Nothobranchius furzeri: one gene and its partner. The protein of the gene in region 1 interacts with the protein of each later gene in a biochemical or structural test. Links are inferred from orthologs where the notes say so. Each region holds a gene or a part of one and is shown in the gene's direction. Other genes may lie near its edges.

Region 1 (11,137 bases):
CCTAATCAATCAATCAGATTTATTTATATATATAGCGCCTACCACCACCATATCGGAGGCCCAAGGTGCTGAGCAGGACATAACAACAAGGATAAAAACGGCATAGTAGATAAAAGAGAGAAAATTTGATTTAAAAAAATTAATAAATAGAAAAGTCAAAGTAATTAAAAACCCTACAGTACAAAAGGTAAAAATACAAAAGCCAGGGTCAGCGATGTTGGAGGAAATCATCTGATTGATTGGTTGACAATAGTCATGTTTTATGTTGGATCAGCACAGTAAATTACTCGTCGTCTTCGTCGTCTTCCTCCGCTTATCCGGGTCCGGGTCGCGGGGGCAGCATCCCAACTAGGGAGCTCCAGATCGTCCTCTCACCGGCCAGCTCCTCTGGCAGGACCCCAAGGCGTTCCCGGACCAGATTGGAGATGTAACCTCTCCAACGTGTCCTAGGTCAAACCTGGGGCCTCCATGCGGCAGGACATGCTCGAAACACCTCCCCAGGGAGGCCTCCAGGAGGCATCCTAACCAGATGCCCAAACCACCTCAACTGACTCCTTTCGATCTGGAGGAGCAGCAGTTCTACTCCGAGTCCCTCCCGAATGTCCGAGCTCCTCATCCTATCTCTAAGGCTGAGCCCGGCCACCCTACGGAGAAAACCCATTTCGGTCGCTTATGTCGACAAAGGGCAGCCCTGGCGGAGTCCAACCGCGATCTCGTTCTTTCTGTCATTACCCAAAGCTCATGACCATAGGTGAGGCTTGGGACGTAGATCGACCGGTAAATCGAGAGCCTGCTTTCTGGCTCAGCTCCCTCTTCACCACGACAGATCGGCTCAGTGTCCGCATCACTGCAGACGCCGAACCAATCCGCCTGTCGATCTCCCGATCCCTCCTACCCTCACTAGTGAACAAGACCCAAAGATACCTAAACTCCTCCACTTGAGGTAGGACCTCTCTCCCGACCCGGAGTTGGCAAGCCACCCTTTTCCGGTCGAGAACCATGGTCTCAGGTTTGGAGGAGCTGATCCTCATCCCAGCCGCTTCACACTCGGCCGCGAACCTACCCAGCAAGAGCTGAAGATCAGAGCTGGATGAAGCTAGGAGGACCACATCATCCGCAAAAAAGCAGAGACGAGATTCTCCTGCCACCAAACTCGACACACTCCACACCACGGCTGTGCCTAGAAATTCTGTCCATAAAGATTTTGAACAGAACCGGTGACAAAGGGCAGCCCTGGTGGAGTCCAACCCTCACCGGGAACAGGTCCAACTTACTACCAGCTATGCGGACCAAACTCACGCTCCTCTGGTAAAGGGACTGAATGGCTCTTAACAGAAAGCCACCCACCCCATACTCCTGGAGCGTCCCCCACAGGGTGCCCCTGGGGACACGGTCATAAGCCTTCTCCAAATCCACAAAACACATGTGGATTGGTTGGGCAAACTCCCATGCCCACTCCATCACCCTTGCAAGGGTATAGAGCTGGTCCACAGTTCCACGGCCAGGATGAAAAACACCTTGCTCCTCCTCAATCTGAGATTCAACTATCGATCGGACCCTCCTCTCCAGTACCTTGGAGTAAACCTTTCCAGGGAGGCTGAGGAATGTGATCCCCCTATAGTTGGAACACACCCTCAGGTCACCCTTCTTAAAGATGGGGACCACCACCCCGGTCTGCTACTCCACAGGTACTGCCCCCGATGACCACGCAATGTTGCAGAGACGTGTCAACCACAACAGCCCTACAACATCCATAGCCTTGAGATACCCAGGACGAATCTCATCCACCCCCGGGGCTCCGCCGCTGTGTAGTTGTTTGACTACCTCAGCAACTTCTGCCCCCGAGATTGGACAGTCCATCCCCAGGTCTGCCGGCTCTGGTTCCTCCTCAGAATGCGCTTAGGTGGGATTGAGGAGCTCCTCAAAGTATTCCTTCCACTGTCCGACTATAGCCCCAGTTGACGTCAGCAGCTCGCCATCCCCACTGTAGACAGTGTGAGCGAGTTGCTGCCTCCCTCGCCTGAGGCGCCGGACAGTTTGCCAGAACCTCTTTGGAGCCGATCGATAGTCTTTCTCATTGGCCTCACCAAACTCCTCCCACGTACAAGATTTTGCCTCGGCAACTGCCACTGCTGCACCCCGCTTGGCTATCCGGTACCTGTCTGCTGCCTCCGGAGTCCCACAGACCAGCCACACCCTGTAGGGGTCCTTCTTCAGCCTGACGGCTCCCCGAACCTCTGGTGTCCACCAGCGGGTACGGGGGTTGCCACCACGACTGGCACCGGCCACCTTGCGACCACAGCTAGCAACAGCCGCCTCAACAATCGCAGAGTGGAACAAGGCCCACTCGGACTCAATGTCCCCCACTGCTCTCGGGACGCGGTCAAAGCTCTGCCGGAGGTGGGAGTTGAAGACCGTCTTAACAGGTTCTTCTGCCAGGCGTTCCCAGCAAACCCTCACTATGCGTTTGGGTCTGCCAGGTCTACACGGCATCTTCCCCTGCCATCTGATCCAACTCACCACCAGGTGGTGATCAGTTGACAGCTCCGTTCCTCTCTTCACTCGGGTGTCCAAAACATACGGCCGCAGGTCAGATGATACGACTACAAAGTCTATCATCGACCTGCGACCTAGGCTGCCCTGGTACCAAGTGTACCGATGGGCATCCTTTTGTTCGAACATGGTGTTCGTTATGGCCAAACTGCGGCTTGCACAGAAGTCCAATAACGAAACACCACTCGACACACAGTAAATTACTAATGCGTAAAATCAATGATCATGAATAATAAGAGCAACTAGCCAGTATTAAGTTTTAAACATTTAAAACGATGACTTTAGCTTAGAAAAGTAATTGTCATTAGGAATGTCCCGATACAACTTTTTCATTTCCGATACCACACCGATATCGCAGCCTTCGGTATTGAACGATACCGATACAAATCCGATAAGATATCAGCACAAATCATACATACTTTTACTTATTTCATAGTGTGTAATGTATAAAAGTCTTGATCAAGTGATATCACTCAAACAGAAAACAAAAGCCAGCAACAGTAAGTATAAAAAACTCACCAGTTTTTTAGTAACCTTTGGTTGAATAAATGTGAACGGCTGAGGTTAGGGACATAAGGAAAAAACACAATATTGTTCACTGACCAGCTGCTACAAGTTCAGTGTCTAAAGTTTCAATTTCACACACACATTTGTGATCCTGCTTCAAATGAGGTTGGACGTATTAATCTTCCCCGGTTTGAGTCTTTTTCAGACTTTAACAAAAACCACAGCCACACGGCCAACATTGTTCCTTGCTACTTTGCTAGCACACACTGTTTTGATCACGGGGACGTTGATGCTGGATCTGGGCGCTGATGGACAGAGTTGCTGGAATGGAATTTAAAGCAGAACATACTGCTAATATTGGAGAATTTTGATGCAGTTCGATATAATCCGATACAGTGTTTTGGGGCCGATATCAATATCTGGACATCCCTAATTGTCATGGATTTGCTCCACTTTCCACCAGAAACTCAGACTTTTGGTTTTTGTGCAATCCTGCTAACAGAGAATTTAACAAAAATCAGCAGTTAAAACCTTTGCCTCTGTTCATGCTAAAGAGAGAAAATGTTCCAGTGTCCTTGTCAGAAAACATCTGACTGGGGTGATGATCTTTACTCTTATTTATGCTTTTTTGGGGATTTTTACTTTAGTTCTCCTCCACAACAAGATCAACACAATAAAGTCTTAAATAAAACATTCTACTGATCTTGGAGGAGGTTAAAGATGGATAGGTGTGTGGTTGAATGACCACGGTTGACCTGTTTCCCCCGTCTGACCTTGTTCCTGTGATGTGACTGCAGAGACAGGATGGCTGAAAAAAACATGGATGATTCAAACTTTACCTCGCAGATTCAGCCTGTCACTATGGTGGAGAATAAAAAGGGACATTAAGGGACACTGTGGAGTCAAACATTGCTTCCTCTTCTCTCTAGGAGTACCATAGAAGAGTCCTACGCTCGGTCGATGACCAAACTTGCCAAATCAGCTGGAAACTTCTCTCAGCTTGGGTGAGTTCGAACCTTTTCAACCCTTTAGAAGAAAACAGCCCTAACAACGAGAGTATTAACATTTTCATGCCACCCTTGCTCTCAGGACATTTGCTCCAATGTGGGACATATTCAAGAGTTCAACAGAGAAGCTTGCTGGTTGTCACTTAGAGCTGGTGAGGAAACTACAAGAACTTATAAAAGAAGTACAGAAGTATGTGGAAGAGCAGGCCAAAGCACACAAGAAGGTAAGGACGTGCACATCTGTTTAAATACCTTTGTATTTAAAGGGACTCTAAGGAAGTTTGACAGCCAAAACATGTATAGAAATAATAAATGTCTTCTTCATGCATTCTCTTGCAATGCCCTGGTCCTGTAGAATGAGCCCTGGCATTTTTACTGTGATTGCCTGTTTTTCTGTAAAATGACAGAAAAAGAGAGATGCTCGGGTTGAGCAGGCTGCTTCATGCTCAGGCATCGCCCGTAGCATTTGCTATCCGTAGATTTAGCAGCAGAGAGAGAGGCAGTGGCAACTCAGCGACTTTGTCGCTGTTCCTAACGCCTAGTGATGAACCTAGCTACATTTATGAGGACCCTTAGCTACTTTCTGTAGAACTTTCTTCTAGATATTTACTGCAGATTAGCAACAAAATAGCCATTTTCGCTCCGAACCGTTCTTTGGTTTGACGTTGTTTCAGCTGTCATCAAGGATATAAATGTTACAGATACTGTGAATGTTACTAGAGTGTAGCTAACCTTGTAAGATGTCTGACTCTCATGCAGAAGTCCTGGGTTCGATTCTGGATGTGAACATAGTTTATTTAGAGTTTCTTTTTTACATTAATGGTATTTTTTTACAGTAAGATGCCCAAATTTTTATTTGAGACTCGCCAAACGGCATTGAATTCACAGATAGAAAAAGATGTGGGTTCAACTTTCATTTTGGAACAATTTTTCAAGCAAGGGAAGGGAATGATCTGAGCATGCAGGAGGACTGACCCATCTTAAACCTTTGTCGGCTGTGCTGAAGAGAAAGGTACAGAACCAAATAATGTAATTAATTAGCTGCACGTTCTCCTGTCCTCCGCCCCCCCCCCCACCCCCACCCACACACACACACACGACTGTCTCAGCTGTTTTTTTTTTCCGTTAAGGAGTGTGCACGTACAGCATGCGTGCCTCGTACACTAGCCTACTATTGAAGCTGCCGTTATGCTTTTGGCCTGAAGGGGCAGTCGCGAGCATAAAAATTCAAAAGTCCGTCAAGTCCCTTTAAGTTAAAGCAGGAAATCCAGTTCCAGACTAATTATTTTCTATGAGTAGGGTCTATACTAACATAAATCTGTCTTCAACATGCATCAGTAATGCATGCTTTTATTTTAGAGGTTGTGACCTTGTTTTTGCACTTTGTGGTTGACTTGGTAAACAGCTTTGTGTTGTTGAGTTTGTCGGAGCACAGCACACTCAGTACACCGTGTTTCTGGCTTTGCAATAAGACCGCTGCAGAGCCCTTTCCTGGCATTCTGTTAAAATGTAAACACAAAGTTTATGGGAATGAGTTTGACCTTTGATCACTGACCAACTGCACACTCGTAGGTGACGGCCTGTTCACAAACCTTGTTGTTATAACAAGAACTTCACATAGATCTTCTGTCTCTTTCACCACTGACATCAGCCGGTTCTGAAACATCATTGTAAATTAGATGCCACCAGCATGTGCATGCGGGTCAATTTAGTGTTCTGGTCACCAGTTTAGTCTCATTTTTTTACCTGATAACTTAAAGGTCTCATTCACTGTTTTTTAATAAATCTGCTGTGGTCTCTACTGTGAATGATGCCATGTTGGTCGTTTGGGGAAAATGCTCTGGTGCTCCTGTTTCAGGAGGTAGAAGTATGTCAGAGGAGTCGGGGGGCAGAGAACGGCCGGGTCTAATAATATTCATTAAAACCAAATGTCTAGTCTCTGATTGGCTAATAGCAACAAAAGTCAGTCGTTAACAAAAGTCAGAACACTGTAAAAATGCAACATTAATGTTTTATCTTCACAAATAAAGTCTGGACGTGTCAGAGTTGCTAATGCTAATGGTTAGCTTCTATTCGCCTAAACACACTCTGCTCTCTCCTGGCCACAAAAGGAATACAGCCTCCCAAGGTCACAGGCCAGGGTGGGCGTGCCCTTCCTAAATGAATACTAAAATTCCCTGTAACATAGAAGAAACTGGCTTTTTCTGACGGGATGGTTTTCCAGTCTATTTCCTTTCTGCAAGTGATGGGAGAGTTTCACGTTCAGCAAGAGTTTACAATTCAGAGTGACTTCTTCTTCCTCCCCCTTATTTTTCACTTAGAAGACTGTTGATGATTGCATTTTGCATGAATGATGAATGAAACTGCTGAGTGAGAAAATAAAATTAACAATTAACTGATTGTATTTCAAAAAGAACAAGAGCGTGAAAACCTGCCTGTTTCATTCAAATCAGCATGGTCCTAGTGATCCCTGCCAATGAGCAAGGCAGCAGGAGGTGGTTGTACTCTGAAACAGACTTTACATAGAAGCGTTAAATATGATTGTTTAGTTGTGCAGTCCAAATGTTTTTGTTTTTTCTTGTTTTGTGATATCAGTTAGAGCCGTGTGCAGAACTATCTTTAAATCCCGCTTCCACTGACGTTTCTGTCCATCATCTCTCCAGCACTACCCTCCACCTGCAGGCCCATTCATTAATACGATCAATTAGGCCCATATGCACAGCTTGTTTTGTTTCTGGTAAACACTCTTTTCCATATATGGGATTCTTCATCCTTTTCTGCAGTTTTATCCTCTAGTCTTAACCCTTTGATGCATAATGGTCACTACAGTGGACAAGTACTCAAAATTGTTATTTATTTGTTTTTGCTATTAAGCACAGCTGTTGAAGACTTTATTGCATTTGAGCCCCTCCATTTGGACTTCAGTAAGCCAAGCAAACAAATTTCATGTTCAGATTGCACGCTGTCCACTGAGGTGGACATGTAATAAATTATTTGTAAATTATAAAGTTTTACAAAAAATATTTGTTGAAATTTGTTTCATTCACACCTAAAGACGAATGAAAAAAATTGTTAAAAAAATCATGGTTGAAGATTTCATAATTCATGCATCAAAGGGTTAATTTGATAACCAGTCCCAATCATCCGACTGACCATCTCGGGACCTGCAATCTATTTTTAGCCGCCCGCTCCCTCAGCACCTGTTGAATCCAGTCCCAAGGCAGCGCTCTAGTATCAGTTTATATTTTTTGTCTGAAGCTAGAGAACACAAAGCCAATTAGAAGCTCAACCATGCTGCCAAGGTTGTGTTTGTGCTCGTTATTGTGACTGTTTCTCTCTGAAACGTCCGCTCTCTCTGCTTTATTTCTCCTTTTGTAACCTGCTGCTGTGTGCTTTGTGTTTAGACATTCAAAGTTGTAAAAAACATTCAAATAAATAAAACGAGAGATGTCTGCATCTTACCATAATGGTGTCGTAGCCAAGAGGCCTTGAAGGTAACTGTTCGCCGATGTTAAATGGCCTGTGTGGACCTCGCTCTGGTATCAGTGACTTTTACAAACAATTAACAAAGATGTTTCAGGACAAGTGTTGTCACACTTCGGGGGGTGGGGGGAGAGTTGCACTAATTGTTTGGTTATCTTTCAGACGAAAGAGGAAGTAGCACCAACCCTGGAAGCCGTCCAGAACATACAGTCCATCTCCCAGGCACTCCAGAAGTCTAAGGAGATCTACAATGCCAAAACGGTGGAGCAGGAGCGCCTCCGCAAAGAGGGGGCCACCCAGAGAGATGTGGACAAGGTGGGAGGTCACACGCTTATGCAAACACTTGAGCTCATAAGGCATGATTGAAGTGTGTCACACAGAAACTTTAAGCCTGCCCTGATTTTTCTGTTGATGCAGAAAGATGTGCAGCCTTTGAAAGTCATTTATCCGTTTGTTCACAGGCTGGAGTGAAAGCCAAAAAAGCCACGGAGACCTACAAGTCCTACGTGGAGAAATACGCCACAGCCAAGTCTGAGTTTGAACAGAAGATGGCAGAAACTGCGCAGGTATTAGACATCTTAGCTGGTGTTTTGTTCTCTCACAAGCTCTGCGTATTGTCTGCCCTTTGTAGCGCACAACACTTCATTGTGCAATCGTCCGCTGCACGCCTGTTCCATGTTTTGTGGCCTGCATCGTCTCCAGATTGTGTTTTTTCCTCCATAATGAGATCATTGTGGAAAATAAAGCACTGATTGGATCCATGTGAAGGGCTGATTAGATAAACTCTAAATTAAAATCAGATCGGAAGGATTTGGTCTCTACATCCTCCTGTAGCCGCAGCAGCTCCGTCACTGAAGCTGGTTCCAGTTAAAACCTGGAGATTCTTGCGGTGCAGCCCTGCTTCCCCTGGATCCCCGTGCACGGCTCATCTCCCACCACACATGTGGGCGTATATTATAAACACAGAACACATGTGCTGTCTGACATCACTGCAGCTCCTACATGTGTGTTTTCTTTGTCAGTGTGTGTGTGTTTTCTAACCGGTAGAAGGCAGAAGTATGTGGCTGATCTTCTCTAATCTCACGCTATGATTTTTCCACTTTACGTGTATTTAAAATTTTTCTTTTATCGTCCCAAAAGCCTTGTGCACTTCAGCTTACATCCAGAATATCAATACCAGCGTGATTTGGCCTCAGACCACCCAAACAGTCATGCATGAAGTCACAGTGTAATGAAGACGATGATCCCTTGGCTTCATTTAGCTTCTTATTTTTGTTTTCTTGTCAGTTTTATGAGACAGAAATCATGATTTGAATTTGTCAGCAGGCAGTTAATTTGGTTATGAGTGCCTGCTGTGTTGCTTCACCTCACTGAAACCACAAGTATCATAAATCTGTTACAGAAATTCCAAGACATAGAAGAAAACCACGTCCTCCAAATGAAAGAGATCATTCGGTCGTACTCGCAGTCGGTGGAGGAAACGCACATTCAGATAGGGGAGGTGAGTGCACGTGTCCTCTCAGACACACCTGCATGTAGAATCACTGAAAAACAGGAAGTGATATGTCCATCTCTTTTGCTTAGCTGCTAAAACTGATTAATACCTCTGAGTGAGTAATAAGCCCTTTTTATAAGACACACCATGACGGCAAATCAGCGTAATATTACCGCAATGGTATGTCTATAAAGCATCGACATATAAATATTGGACAATGGGTTTCCATAGGCTCCAATAACGTTTTTGAGGAGAAATGGGAGGTGGCCACCACCGCCATTTTGACCGTGTCACAGGTTCCGTCAAGCCCAGACAATTCCACAAAAGGGAAGAGAGGAGGAGCTGAGAGTGGGGTTGTAAGGCTGGGATCAACTGACGACACCCGGTTGAACTAGCTACAAGCTAACTTGAAGCTAACCCACAGCTAACGCGGAGGTGGGAGCCGTGGCAAATCCCGTTTTGCAAACGCTATGGTCCTGTAAAAACAGCTCTAGAGGCACATTCTGACCTCTTAACTATGGTCATAGTTTTTGAAAAAGTGTATTTAGGTTTGAGAAAACTGCATCTAGTTGTAAAATCTTAAAAGTAGCATTCAAATACTACACTAGTCATTATTCAGCTTGTGTGTATTCATCCATATGTAGCAGCAATGCTGCTCTATTTGTCTCACTACCTGCAGAGGGCGGCATTGTTTCATCAAAGGAAAAGGAAAACCCCGTCTAGCTTCCCTTTGGTAGCAAACTGTGAAAAATGTTGGGCATCAGTCGTGCTGCTCCTCCCTCTGAGCTGTAGATGCTGCATGTTGCTCGACCACATTCAACTCTGACTGAAGACGGGTGGTTAGTCTGCAGACCGGAGGGTCTTTATCTGTTGATGAAATAATCATTTAATGGCAGATAGGAAGTTGGGAGTGTCATCTCAAAGAGTAGGCTGCAGGATGCAGAGAGCAGCTGCTCAACTGTATTAATGGACTCCGTGGTGTGCACTGTTGCACACACACACACACATAGGCACACACACACACACACACACACACACACACACACACACACACACACACACACACACACACACATACCTAAAATCATTAGGATATACTTGTACTTAAAATAAAATATTCAAATGCTTTGTAAGTTGCTTTTACACACGTGCACTTTGAAATCTAAGTAAATATAATTAAAATGATTGCATTTATTGTTGTATTGTAAATGTTCTTACAGTTTTAGATTTTTGAGTAGTGTTTAAATTTTATTTTTCAAGACAGTTTTTATTTGAACCAATGAATTACTAACTAACTCTTATATCTTAACACTTGACCACCAATACCCACCCTCAGGCGGCCCTTTATGGGTCAGCATGCTGCTCACTGATTGGTTGCTGTTCTACAGTTGTCTCTTGGATCTCAAATTCAAAACTGAAGTACAGAAATTTACTTAAGATTTAACACTAGAGGAAATTAACCCTTCAGATTCTATGATCACAGGTTTTTGGTGGTTAAATGCAGTTTTGCTTAGTGGAAAGGGGGGGAATGATAATGTTTATGGTTATCTGACAGAACTTAACAACTTGGCATAATGAACTGAACACAGCTGTTTACTTCGTGAAGTGCCTTCTTAATCTGTGAATTATTTAAAGGGGCCCTAGAAAACAAAACCAAGTTGTTGTTGAACATAGACAGCTTGGTGTATCTAATGTAACAAACTCCGACCTGCTTTCCTTTGTCAGTAATGTTGTAACGGCCATGCAGAAACGGTCCGATCTGAGAACATCTGGTTTAACTCATCATAAGCATAGACACACCCACATCACCACCCACTTCTGTGTTGGCAAAATAGAAATGTTGGTTGTGGTAATGCTAACTGCAAATGATGCTAGTCTGAGCTACTGCTAGCATCCCCGTTGGACAAGAGGGAAACGACAAAGAAAAATGTCGGAGCACACATGAAACATTCTAAGATGCACTTGGAATATCCACATTTTGAATGAATGCCAGATAGGTCCGTAGCTGAATGTCAGAGTCATAGGGGTAAACTGACCAGTCAGCATGCAACTGTTTATGAATCTATCTAGCATTTAGCGGTGGGCGATATGG
Region 2 (11,137 bases), about 440 kb from region 1:
CCCTACCAGCTGAAATAGCAGTGAGTGAGTGAAGGGTTAAACCCAGAGCTCTCTGCAGCCTCCCTTCTTTCTGCCCTCGGTATTTAGCACTAAACCCTCTCTAGCTCCTGCTCGGGTTTGTGCTGCTCTTTTTTTTTCTTTTTCTTTTTCCAAGGCTGAAGTAGGTTAGACTGATTCAGCAGCAGGATCGTGGAGGCTTCACCGCAACAAACATCTTCAGCGTCCCATCTGGAGCTTTTTTAAACAGGTAGGCTGTTTCCCCCTGTTTTCTATCAGTGCTTTAAAACTTGGGAGCAGTCTCAACTCTGGAGGTAAATTAAAAGTTGCTTTTGGCATTTCAGTTGAACCAGCTTAACAAGTGTGGAAGTGAATTTCATGTTGGAAAAACAACAAATGCTTTATTTTTCTGATGCCTCTTTTGCCTCCAAAGCTCACTAAAGTTTTTGGACTTTGATGTTTTAAATCTTTTCTAAGTTTGTAAAGTGTTTTTTCTGCCCTTTGTGGTATTTCACCATCTCATTCACTGGCAGACTGACTCACTCTCCTTATTTCCTCCAGATGTGCAGCAGTTTACATTTCCTGAGGCCCAGGATTGTGACATTTCAGCCCTTGCACTGCTGTCTGTTCTGCTGACGAACATGAATTCAACAGTTTCTGGTGTGGTGACACTAATGGTTGCTGTTAAAAGCTCCAGTTTCTCCTCTTTCATTCTAATAAAAGCCATTGCCTTCTCTCCGAGGTGCTTGTTAAAGCGTAACCGTTTAACTCGGGTCTGCAGGGAAGTGCTGACATTAGTGGTTTTATTAGTGGCTCTGGGTGATGGACAGGAACAATCATGTGTCAGGCTTGTGCAATTTAACAAGTGCTAAAGTTTGTCTTTTTAGGGGCCTGACGACACAATCAGCATGCAGTGATTTTTACATCACAGATTATTCTACCAACACTGACTTCCAAACCTTTGAGGGACAGTTAAATTCAGGATTTTATTCAGGAGTTTCTAACTCCTTAAGTTAAAAATTGCTTGAATTTGAATAAAATGAAATGTTAAACGGGACTCTCCCTTTTCCAAACCTCTTAATTAAGCAGGTTTTAATAAACCATTTAGCCACCCACATGTCCCACTGGAGACTGTTTAGGCAATGGTTTTTATCCCCGCGCAAGAAAAGGACTTCCTTTTTGAAAATCTAATCTAAAAGCCAACGAGAGGAGTTGGGATTATTTTCTGTATGATCTGGTGTTAGTAGTGACCTTGTTGGTCACAAAGCTGAAATGAACTCTCTAACCTGCAAGTGCGCTGGAGTTCTAATTCTGTCACTCTGGTTTCCTCTGGATCCAACTTTTTAGCTTGATTGTGTTTTTTGCATCCTCTAGTATTAGAAATGTAGGATTTCCTTCTTTTACTGAAATGTTTATATCCTGAAACAGACCCAGTGAAACTCTTTTGCACTTGCCTAGCTGGGCATCACGAGATCTGTTTCCTCTGTTGGCGTAAGATTAACCTTTTAAGTGCTCAACCTTTGCCCATTTCCGGACTTTGGTCTTCACTGCAGTAGTCGGGCTTTTTTCTCTGGTTCTCTGAAGCAGTGTTACCTCTGGAGCTGCTTCTAAAGGTACGTCAAGCTGAGCAGGGTCTGTGTTGGTGGTTTTCCAGTGCTTGTGCAGGCCAGAAGAGCTTTATGGCTTTTTTTCTATTTTCCATTTAGCTGAATGAGTGATTGTTCACCTTTATAGTGGCTTTTTGACTAATTAAAGGTCTGAATAATGCTTTTTATTATAACTGCTCTCTAAGTACTTTTTTGTTTGCCTGTTTTGCTGCCAACTCCACTTTTTAGCTGATAAATGGAAGTATTCGGTCAAGGCCGTGAAGAGAGGCTGCTAGTCCTCTGATTCAGCTGAAAGTTTTATTACCTGATGAGTCACATGCGTTGGCTGGATGATTTACAGGATTTGTTTCTCCTTTCTGAGAAAGTCACAAAAATGTTTTAAAGCTCTGCAGGATTTTCAGATTGTAATAAGACTACCATTCAAATCAAAATTTCACATAAAAAAAGCTCAAATCCTGTTTAAAATTAAAGGCAGATTTAAGAGCATCTCATGAGTGAGATTTTTTTATTGATCGTGCATCTCATTCCTCTCCTTATCGGTGTTTCTGCAGTTGGTCTGGCAGTGAAGGAATTTAATTGTCCTTCAGCATGTTTACCTGGTGCCATAACTCCTGCCATAACTCCTATCTATATATTTTCTTTCACTGAAGCCATTCTGTCTTCTTCCCTTTTTGTGCTCCAGACAAGAGAAGCATGTGTGGGTGTTGAAGAATCATCAGATCGTCGCTCGACATCACTACCCAAGATCTCAAAGTTGCTGTCTGCATTACCTCAGATTGCCACTTGTCCAGTGAGGTTGACCCTCCCCTCCCTCCCAACACACACACACACACATACACACACACACACACACATCATGTCTGCAGCAGTGGAAAACAGCGTACCAGTCTCTGCTGATCCCAACACCCCACCTACAGCCCCAAGCACCAACACCCCACCCAGCTCCCCTGCGTCAGCTGCAACCAAGACTTCGCTCAAGAAAGAAAAGAAGAAAGGTGAGCGGTGCACAACACGATGAGCTGGAGGTTTCCTTAATTGGTCGATGAATGTTTGATTTTTAGGTTTGCTCTTGAGTCACTTCTGCAGGTTTGTGATTCTCCAAAGTAACATAAAAATATAAATTTGAGATGAAGTGGGAAAACTCAAATGCTATTAAGAGTCCTTTACTGTTTATCTGAAATATTTAAATTTCTTATGCTCAGAATTGAAGTTTTCCATCTATAGAGTAAAATAGTTTATCAGAACGTTTAACTACTGCAGCCTCAAACATTGCACTGTACACTGTAAAAATAAATAAATAAATAAATAAATAAAGCCACTGTTTATGTAAAGTTTCCGTACATAAATTTGCACGTTTTCTTTGTAAAAAAATAAATAAATGCACAATTCTACTGTAAAGCACTCTAGCGTAGTTTTTTTTAAATGGAAAAGTTCTTTAAAATCTATTTACATTTTATTCAAGAAAAATACAGCTATTGACTGGTATTGGTGTTTACTTCCTGTTTCCCAGTGTGTTTAGTGGCACAAATTTGTCAGAATTTCATTTAAATGCAGTTTTATTTATTTATTTTACAAACATTTGCACTGCTGGAAATATTTCGTAAAATTATTCTAAAGAGCATTTGCAGCAGAGCTACGTACATGTAGCAGTTCAGTATATTGGCAACACTTTTGGAAAAAATCTTTTATTAAATAAATGTGAAATGGTGATGTAGTTTTAAAAGGCATTTTTTTTGTATTCTGAATTGACAGTTTTATTTAAAAAAAAATACAGCAATTGACTCTGTCCCTGAATCCATTGTGACTAATCATTAGCTTGCCCACCTGTTGCATCTTTTAGTTTTTTCCCAAAAGGGGGAAAGCAGTCTGCAACTTTAAACATGTTTTCCTCTGAACTGCACCTAAGTGGCAGAGCTATTTCTTTAAATGTGAGGCCCACTGAGAACGTGGAATAGGCCCATTTCTTCTCTTGGAAATGTGATTGGTCACGCTAATCATGCTAACGTTCACATTTCAGTTCCACTTTATTTATATAGCGCCAAGTCTCAAGGCACTTCACATAGTAAACATTTCAATCCAGGTCAGTTCATTAAGCCAATCAGAAAAAAAGTTTCCTCTATAAGGAACCCAGCTAATCGCATCAAGTCACTTACTAGTGTCAGTGACTTTACAGCAATCCTCGTACTAAGCAAGCATGTGGTGACATGCTGAACATGTAAACAGTCTTCTACTCCTGTTGCCTGCATCAGCCACTGAAAGAAAATGGATGAGGAAAGGCTTGGGTCAGAAAAAGCCACACTGCTTGTTGTCTCAACTGGGGGTAGCCTGTTGGTTTAGCATCCAGGAGAGAGCAGAGCACATCTTTGCTAGTAACCATAACGCTAACCATTAGCATTAGCAGAACTTCTTTAGGTTTGTTGTGGTAGAAGATAAAACGTCAACATTGAAGAGCAAACAAAGTTAGTGCAAGAGTTGTTTTGCTGTTAGCCAATCAGAGGTGAGCTGTTCCAGTATTGTGAATAATAATGAGCAAGACTTCAAATCCAGCAGTTTCCTGCCAACCATCTCCTCTGGCTAACTTCTACTTCCTGAAACGGGAATGCTGGGGTATTTTTCCTGAGAGGAACTCGCAAGGCATTAATTCGTGCTAGAGACCACAACGACCGTATTAAATTAAAGTGTTTGCCCACTTTAAGAAAAATAACCTTTTCTGACAGTAAAGTACCCAATCTGCTTTGGTTTATTGCTAGTGTTTTTTGTGCACTTTCTTTGGCTGGAAGTGAATATTTGGGATTCTGTTTGTGTAACACATAGCTGTAAGAGTCTGAAATGCTTCAGGAGCTCTGGTAGTCCTCGTGGTAACACCGTTCTAGGTGGTAGAATTCATGGTCCAAACACAGCCAATGCATTTGACAATCACTTTCTAGTATATCTTTTTCTTTTCAATGTATTTTTGCATTTTGTGAGTTTGAAACTCCCATGTTGGAACTGTTGTAGCTATTCTGGTTAAATTCTTTTAATTGGGCAACATTTTACATGAAGCGCTTGCCCTTTAGAGTACGTGCTATGAAACGCTCTGCTACCAACATCAAATATAGATCTGTCTGTGGAATTCAGTCGTCATGTTTGTTTGCTTATGTTGCGTGGCTGTGGCACCCATCTTGATTTGGTTTTACTTGGTTATCCGGCTTTTAAAATCCATCTGGTTGATCGGGTGGGCAAAAACATCAATACCTGTCTTTTTTTGCTGCTTTGCAAACAATCTGTAAAATAACCTTCGGCTATTTCTTCAAATGGAAAATTAACACAGCAAATAGGATGCTTCGAAATAGTATCTGAAGAGCGCTGCAGCACATCTTTATCTTCAAACCCTCCTCTTGAAAACCCCAGGCTGCTTATTGGTCAGAATTTACAGAGTACAAAAAATCTGTTTGTTGTGGAAAATGTCAAAACAGGCCAGTTGGTGGGCAATTAACTAAATGTCTGTAATGAGGTGAGGAAATGGGAGGTTGGGGAGGAGGGAGAGGCTATTCCACAAAATGGAAGAGCAGTGCTTCCTGTTGGATTTGTAACTCTGCAAAATACTTAAACGCTCATAGCATGGATACGAACAATTCCAAAGAACTTCCCACAAGTTTTTTCTTAAAAGTTAAACACAACTTGTAGTAATTGCACCAGATACTCATGGAATGTGTACCAATCTTTAAACCTGTGAAATGGATGTTAAATAGTGACTCAAACATTTCTATTGTAGCGCCTGAGAAGACAGATGAGTACCTGCTGGGAAGGTTTCAAGGAGATGGAGTGAGGTACAAAGCAAAGCTGATCGGCATCGACGATGTCCGGGAGGCTCGCGGAGACAAAATGTGCCAGGACTCCATGATGAAGCTGAAGGTACATTAAAGCTATTTTGTACATCATGTACCTGTTGGCATAGACCTGCATGTTTTGCTGCAGTTGAGTAGCATTATTGTGATTTTCTTCCTGCAGGGTATGGCGGTAGCTGCTCGGTCTCAAGGCAAGCACAAACAGAGAATCTGGGTCATCATTTCCATGTCGGGTATTAAGATCATCGATGAGAAATCAGGAGTGCGTTTTGACATCACCAACTGCAAATTAAAGGTAATAAAGTGAAACTTCAGCGCCTTTTTAAAATATTCTCTGCCTTCAGGTAATTGAGCACGAGCATCCGGTCAGCAAAATCTCCTTTATTGCCAGAGATGTAACGGACAACAGGGCATTTGGATATGTGTGTGGAGCAGAAGGACAGCATCAGTTCTTTGCCATTAAAACTGCACAACAGGTACACACACACACACACACACACACACACACACACACACACACACACACACACACACGTAAAGCAAATACATAAACAAAGGTGAACAATGACCGCTTTTGTTCTAAACAGGCCGAGCCACTTGTCATTGATCTGAAAGATCTTTTCCAAGTCATCTTCAACATGAGGAAGAAAGAAGCAGAGTCCTCACAGACGGTGACAGTTTAAACCAATCACTTTCATCTTATGGTAGACTGGGACTTTATTTTCTCTTATGGAGGGAGGAGGGGTCACTTTGCATGTTCAAGTGGGAGGGCTGAGAGTCAACACTGCCTTATTGTGTTCTCTCAGTGACTCTCATCCTCCAGACATTCCTCTGGAATGTTTCACTAGTTGGTACAACTCAGGAAAACCTGCATAATCATTGACGGCGTAACTGTGTTTACAGGGTGAAAATGGCACTGCAGTAGTTGAGGTAAGCACTTTAAAGTTACTTGGGTGGAAAATCGACACAAAATACCATTCCATACCAATTTATAAAGCACAGATAAAAAACAGCATGGCAGCTAACCAAAGTGCTGTACAAAACACAACAGAAACGGCATAAAACTAAAGAATTGGCTAAAACGCATTAAAAGCAAAGCAGAAAAATACATGTCAAAGATGGCAGGCAGAGATCAAGTAAAAGTACTATGCAAAAAAAAAAGGTAAATTTGAAGCCAGCTAAAAGCGACACTAATAATGCGTGAAGGAAAGCATGCAAAAAAAACAAAAAAAAATCGGGCTTTGTGACATATCTGCACAAGTATGAACGTTGTACTTTCCAGACCTGGCTATGAGGGGAAAACTTGAGTTTATAGTAAAAATAAACAACGTGATTAATGCAGTTCTAGTGTATCCTGTTTGCATCTTGTAAGTCAAAGTTGGCATGTTTGAACTTTTATGCAAAAACGTTACAATTTAAATTAGCAACTTGTTTGAAGACTTGTATAAAATGAGGAAAAAAGTGTTTGAAACATTTTCAACATTTAAATTTCACCATCATTTGCTGCCATCTTTTTGCATCTTTACAGAATGTATTTTATGTTAATGGTAGCAAATGAAGTCCAATGTGACTTTCTTGTGAATGTAGAGAAAACAATTGTACCTGGAATAATGTGTGTGAAAGAACTGTTTCTGCTTTTATTAGAATGGGAAGGCCAATGATGGAAAACCTGCCCAGGTAGGGATGTAATAACTTGATACAAATGTGCCTTTTTAAAATAAAAAAGGTGATAACCGGTTTTGGATTATCCTTTCCTCCAGCCAGTGGAGCAGCATGACCTTTTTGGAGACATCACGACTCCTCCAGACATCCAGGTTCCAAATGTAAGTCGAGCATTCCACGGTCTTATCTATGACAAATGTTAGAGTTGTACTTCTATTAGATTTCCAAATCCCTACTTTCTCATTGCATATTTTCTAAAACATTTTCAACATCAGTAAACTTTTGCAGGCTAATGGCTTCACCCCCCCGAATGTTTCTTTTAAAACCAGATTTTCTTTTGTAACAATTGATCCAACCTAATGAACGCAATGCTTTTAAGGTGATTCTGTGCAATACGTGAACTCGATTCTTAAAGCGCTGTTTAAGTCAGCAGAAATGTAAAGATATTTTTAAGAATTGAGTTGTTGCCTCATGTTAATCTAATCTTGAAGCTGCTACAAGTAGAATTTAGTGGCTCTCTGAATAGAGCCCATTTAATCTACCTTTTTAAAAAGGTCAGAACTGGAAGATGAGGTCTGAATATTTTGTTTATTCTTCTGGTTGCAGCTTCAAAAAGCCACATCCTCCTCATGTGATTCGTTGTTCATTCTGTTAACTCCTGTTTGTCTTTCTGCAGAACTGATTTACAAATGTTTGTTTGTTTGTTTTTTCTTTTGTCTGACTGTCCCTCTCATGTGAACCAGGATTCTAACGAAGTTCTATTGTTGGACTTCTCTGTGGAAGTTGACAGCAATCAAAATTGCATAAAGGATAGCTTCTTTCTCTCTTCCTGTGACCCAGACTATAAGGCAGCCCTCCATAAAGACATTTCCTTTTCATCCACTTTCGGCTACTTCCCAGCTCCAGATGGCGACCCCTTCAGAGACGATCCCCTTTCTAAATCCCCCACTAGTTTTGTACCTGATGACTCCCTCACCACTAATGACCTACCTAACAGCACTGCTGACGGCACAAACAAACCAGTTTTTAATCATTTGAATAGAGACTCTGAAAATCTTCAACAGAAAAACGAGTTGTCCAGTAAATCCATGATCCTTGCTCTCAGTAATGGACAGTGGCCACTTGGGGGCAGCATAACTCAGGGCACCTCAATAACAATGATGGATGGGAGTGAAAGTCAGCAAGCACTCGCAACCAAAAACCCATTCCTCGACTCCTCTATGAAAACCTCCTCCATCCTAAACAGCATACTGACCTATCCAGAACCAGCAGCGACCCATAGCAACGACTCGGTTGTCATAAGCCCGCCTCCTCAGAACTCGAAATGTGGACGAAGTCGAAGGAGTGCAAAGGTGAAATGACACGGCAGTACAGTAGTGCATGACGAGGGGGGGTTGGTTTTAAACGTTTCCTTTCCCACGGGGTTGTTCAGAGAACCAGGGTATGGTGGTGAATGTTCTGGGTGTAGATGCCATCCAAGGCTTTTCTTTTCTGCCGTCCTATAGGAGTTGGATCTGTTCTCTTATACTGGGGTTCTTCTCTTGTTTGACTTTATTGTATCTTGGCTACTCTTCTCATTTCCACTCATGCTTTTCCTAACACTCATGCTTCAGGGGTAAACGCACTTGGTAAGTGGCAAGGCATGCGGGTAAATGGGGATTTTTTTCCACGCATGCTCAGTTGTGGTTAAAAGTTGCCATTTTAGGATATTTCAGTGTACATTAATGTGAAAAATGACTTCTTTTCTGTGATCAGTCTGCATCAAGTGAGCTGTTTGGAGCCGAGCTCTTCACTGCTCCTACTGAGCAGGCTTCCACTCCAGGCGACCTATTCAACAACATGCCTACAAACCCCACTCCCTCCTCTATAGCTGCTCTGGGTAAAACACACAAAAATCTGTCATTTTATACAAATGACTTTGGTTCATTCTCTTACTGAAAATTTCCCCCTCAACACATTTAGGGAACCTTCAGTTGGGCCCACTTGCTGCCCTGAACGTCCCTGCTGCAGGCATGTGGGGTGCCCCTGCTGCTTCACCCGCCATGTTCCCCATGCCAGGAGTGACTGCTCTGGTTGGCACAACCCCCGGCTTTCCACAACCCCCTGCCTTTGGCGCTCACATGCAAGCACCAGCCTGGGGGCAACAGGTGATGCCACCGTTTTCTCCACCACCACATTCTCCACCCCAGCTCCAATGGGGTCAGCCTGTTCCACCCAATCCTTTCCAGCCTGGCCCATTTGTAGTAATGGGAGACCAGCATGGCCCATCCCGCCCCCCTCCTAGGCCACCTGCTAAAGAAGTCACTCCACGAGTAGAGAACAGCGCCTTTACAGCTTTGGATCCCCTCGGAGGTAAAGGGGTAAAAACCGGAAAGGACATGTTCAAGGACTTTCAGATCGCCAAACCCCCTGCTATCCCAGCTAGGAAGGGAGAGGTTGCTCCTTGCTCTGCTCCTCCACACAGCAACAAGGAGTCAGGAGCGTTTGATCAGTACTTCTCCAATAAAGTGGGCCTGGCTCAGGATGCAGCAGACCACGACGACTTCGATATCAATCAGATGTCGGCACCTGGTAAACTAGCTCAGACTGTCGATCAAAATATGAAAGTAAATGTTGCATCAACGCTCGGGGTAGTCGACTCCCTTTCCTAATTTCTGGTATTTGACATGTTCAGTTTCGCTGCTTCATCACAAGGTGATTATCAGGCTTGTGCAGAACTCCATAAGCCACTGAACAGCTGAATCAACTGTGCTGGAGCAGGGAAATGACTAAAACATGCTGGATACCAGCCCTAAGAGATTTGACTACCCCTGATTAATGCCAGGAAATCTGTAACAATTTCTCATGTCTTTAAGACGCTCCAAAGCCATTTTCGACATTGACTCCTGCTCCAGTTGCTGCCCCAGCTCCATGTTTTGCCCCTGACCTTGATGCTGCCTTCTCTTCTGCTCCAAACTCCAAGAGTTCAGCCCCGTCACAGGGACAGGACATGTTTGACCAAGCATTTGGGGCCCCAGAGACAAACCCGTTTGGTGCACCACCTGTAGCTATGGTAACAATGTATTCATGGACTCATTTTGTTGTGATTCTTTATGGAAAAAGATTTTATTTATTTTTTAACTTTTTGTGTGTTACAGCAGAGTAATTCTGCAGGCCAGACCTCAGGCTCAACAGATGCTTTTGGGGATGTTTTTGGAAATCCTTTTGCTTGAACACAAATTTGTCTCAGTAAGTAAACATTTGTGTTTTAATATTAAATCTTTGTTATAAGAAAATCTTTCATTTTTATACCTTTTCCAGGTGAAATGAGAAAATGGAACTCCACATGAAACACGCCAATGGGACAAGCTGCTTTGTGCAAGACAATCCAAATGAACTCTTCTTATTCTTGTCCCCGAAACATCCTTTTACACTTTTGGTTTTGATAAGTTTGTATTTGACTGATCCACAATGTAAATGTTATGTCATGATCTGCTGGGGCAAAAAAGTGGTGTGAAGAATGTTTAGTTCACTGCTAATGCTGTCTTTGTTAAAGAAATAAATCATTATTAATGCAACAAGTAGTATATTATTTTTTTCTTTAGACAGGTTATTGTTTTGATATTTAAGTGGCAGTAATCCAAGCATTTCAAAGGCCAGAACGTGTAGATCTAAGTCTGATAAGTCTGTGTTGTAAGAGGATCCTTTATTTTTCCCTGCACTAAACTTTTCCTTGTGGGTTTCCAATAGGAGAAAGTAACTTATAAAATACTGTAGTCAAAATATGTAAAATCCATTCATTTTGACTCATGGAAGAGAAAAATAACCAGTTTTTAATCAAACCCACATGAGCCTATTATGTGCCATTGGGCCACGGTTGTGACAATTTTCTCTGCGTTTCCATGTGTCAAAAGGGATGATCCTTGACACGTATGCAAAGCTTACATACACTTGAGTGTACAGCAAGTGTTGCAACAAGTCACTTCCAAATTTATATGAACATATGTGCTACATTAGCTGTAACCTGTGGAGAGATCAGCAGAGGGCACTGAAGGCTGGAAAAAG

Evidence for each region.
Region 2: the proteins of fcho2 (region 1) and dab2 form a complex in vitro, tested with the Homo sapiens proteins (2 studies listed by BioGRID). The link is inferred for Nothobranchius furzeri from reciprocal best matches to the Homo sapiens genes FCHO2 and DAB2.

What each region holds. Positions count from the first base shown.
Region 1 is NC_091746.1:66,676,700-66,687,836, reverse strand, and holds part of fcho2 (F-BAR domain only protein 2), read left to right. Parts: intron 1-3,989; coding exon 3,990-4,064; intron 4,065-4,149; coding exon 4,150-4,291; intron 4,292-7,712; coding exon 7,713-7,865; intron 7,866-8,011; coding exon 8,012-8,116; intron 8,117-8,952; coding exon 8,953-9,051; intron 9,052-11,137. UniProt on the Homo sapiens protein: Functions in an early step of clathrin-mediated endocytosis. Has both a membrane binding/bending activity and the ability to recruit proteins essential to the formation of functional clathrin-coated pits.
Region 2 is NC_091746.1:66,238,185-66,249,321, reverse strand, and holds dab2 (disabled homolog 2), read left to right. Parts: upstream 1-106; 5' UTR 107-247; intron 248-2,286; 5' UTR 2,287-2,460; coding exon 2,461-2,599; intron 2,600-5,358; coding exon 5,359-5,498; intron 5,499-5,594; coding exon 5,595-5,693; intron 5,694-5,775; coding exon 5,776-5,907; intron 5,908-6,018; coding exon 6,019-6,102; intron 6,103-6,334; coding exon 6,335-6,361; intron 6,362-7,075; coding exon 7,076-7,108; intron 7,109-7,191; coding exon 7,192-7,254; intron 7,255-7,836; coding exon 7,837-8,445; intron 8,446-8,848; coding exon 8,849-8,972; intron 8,973-9,055; coding exon 9,056-9,664; intron 9,665-9,948; coding exon 9,949-10,145; intron 10,146-10,230; coding exon 10,231-10,305; 3' UTR 10,306-10,321; intron 10,322-10,393; 3' UTR 10,394-10,653; downstream 10,654-11,137. UniProt on the Homo sapiens protein: Adapter protein that functions as a clathrin-associated sorting protein (CLASP) required for clathrin-mediated endocytosis of selected cargo proteins.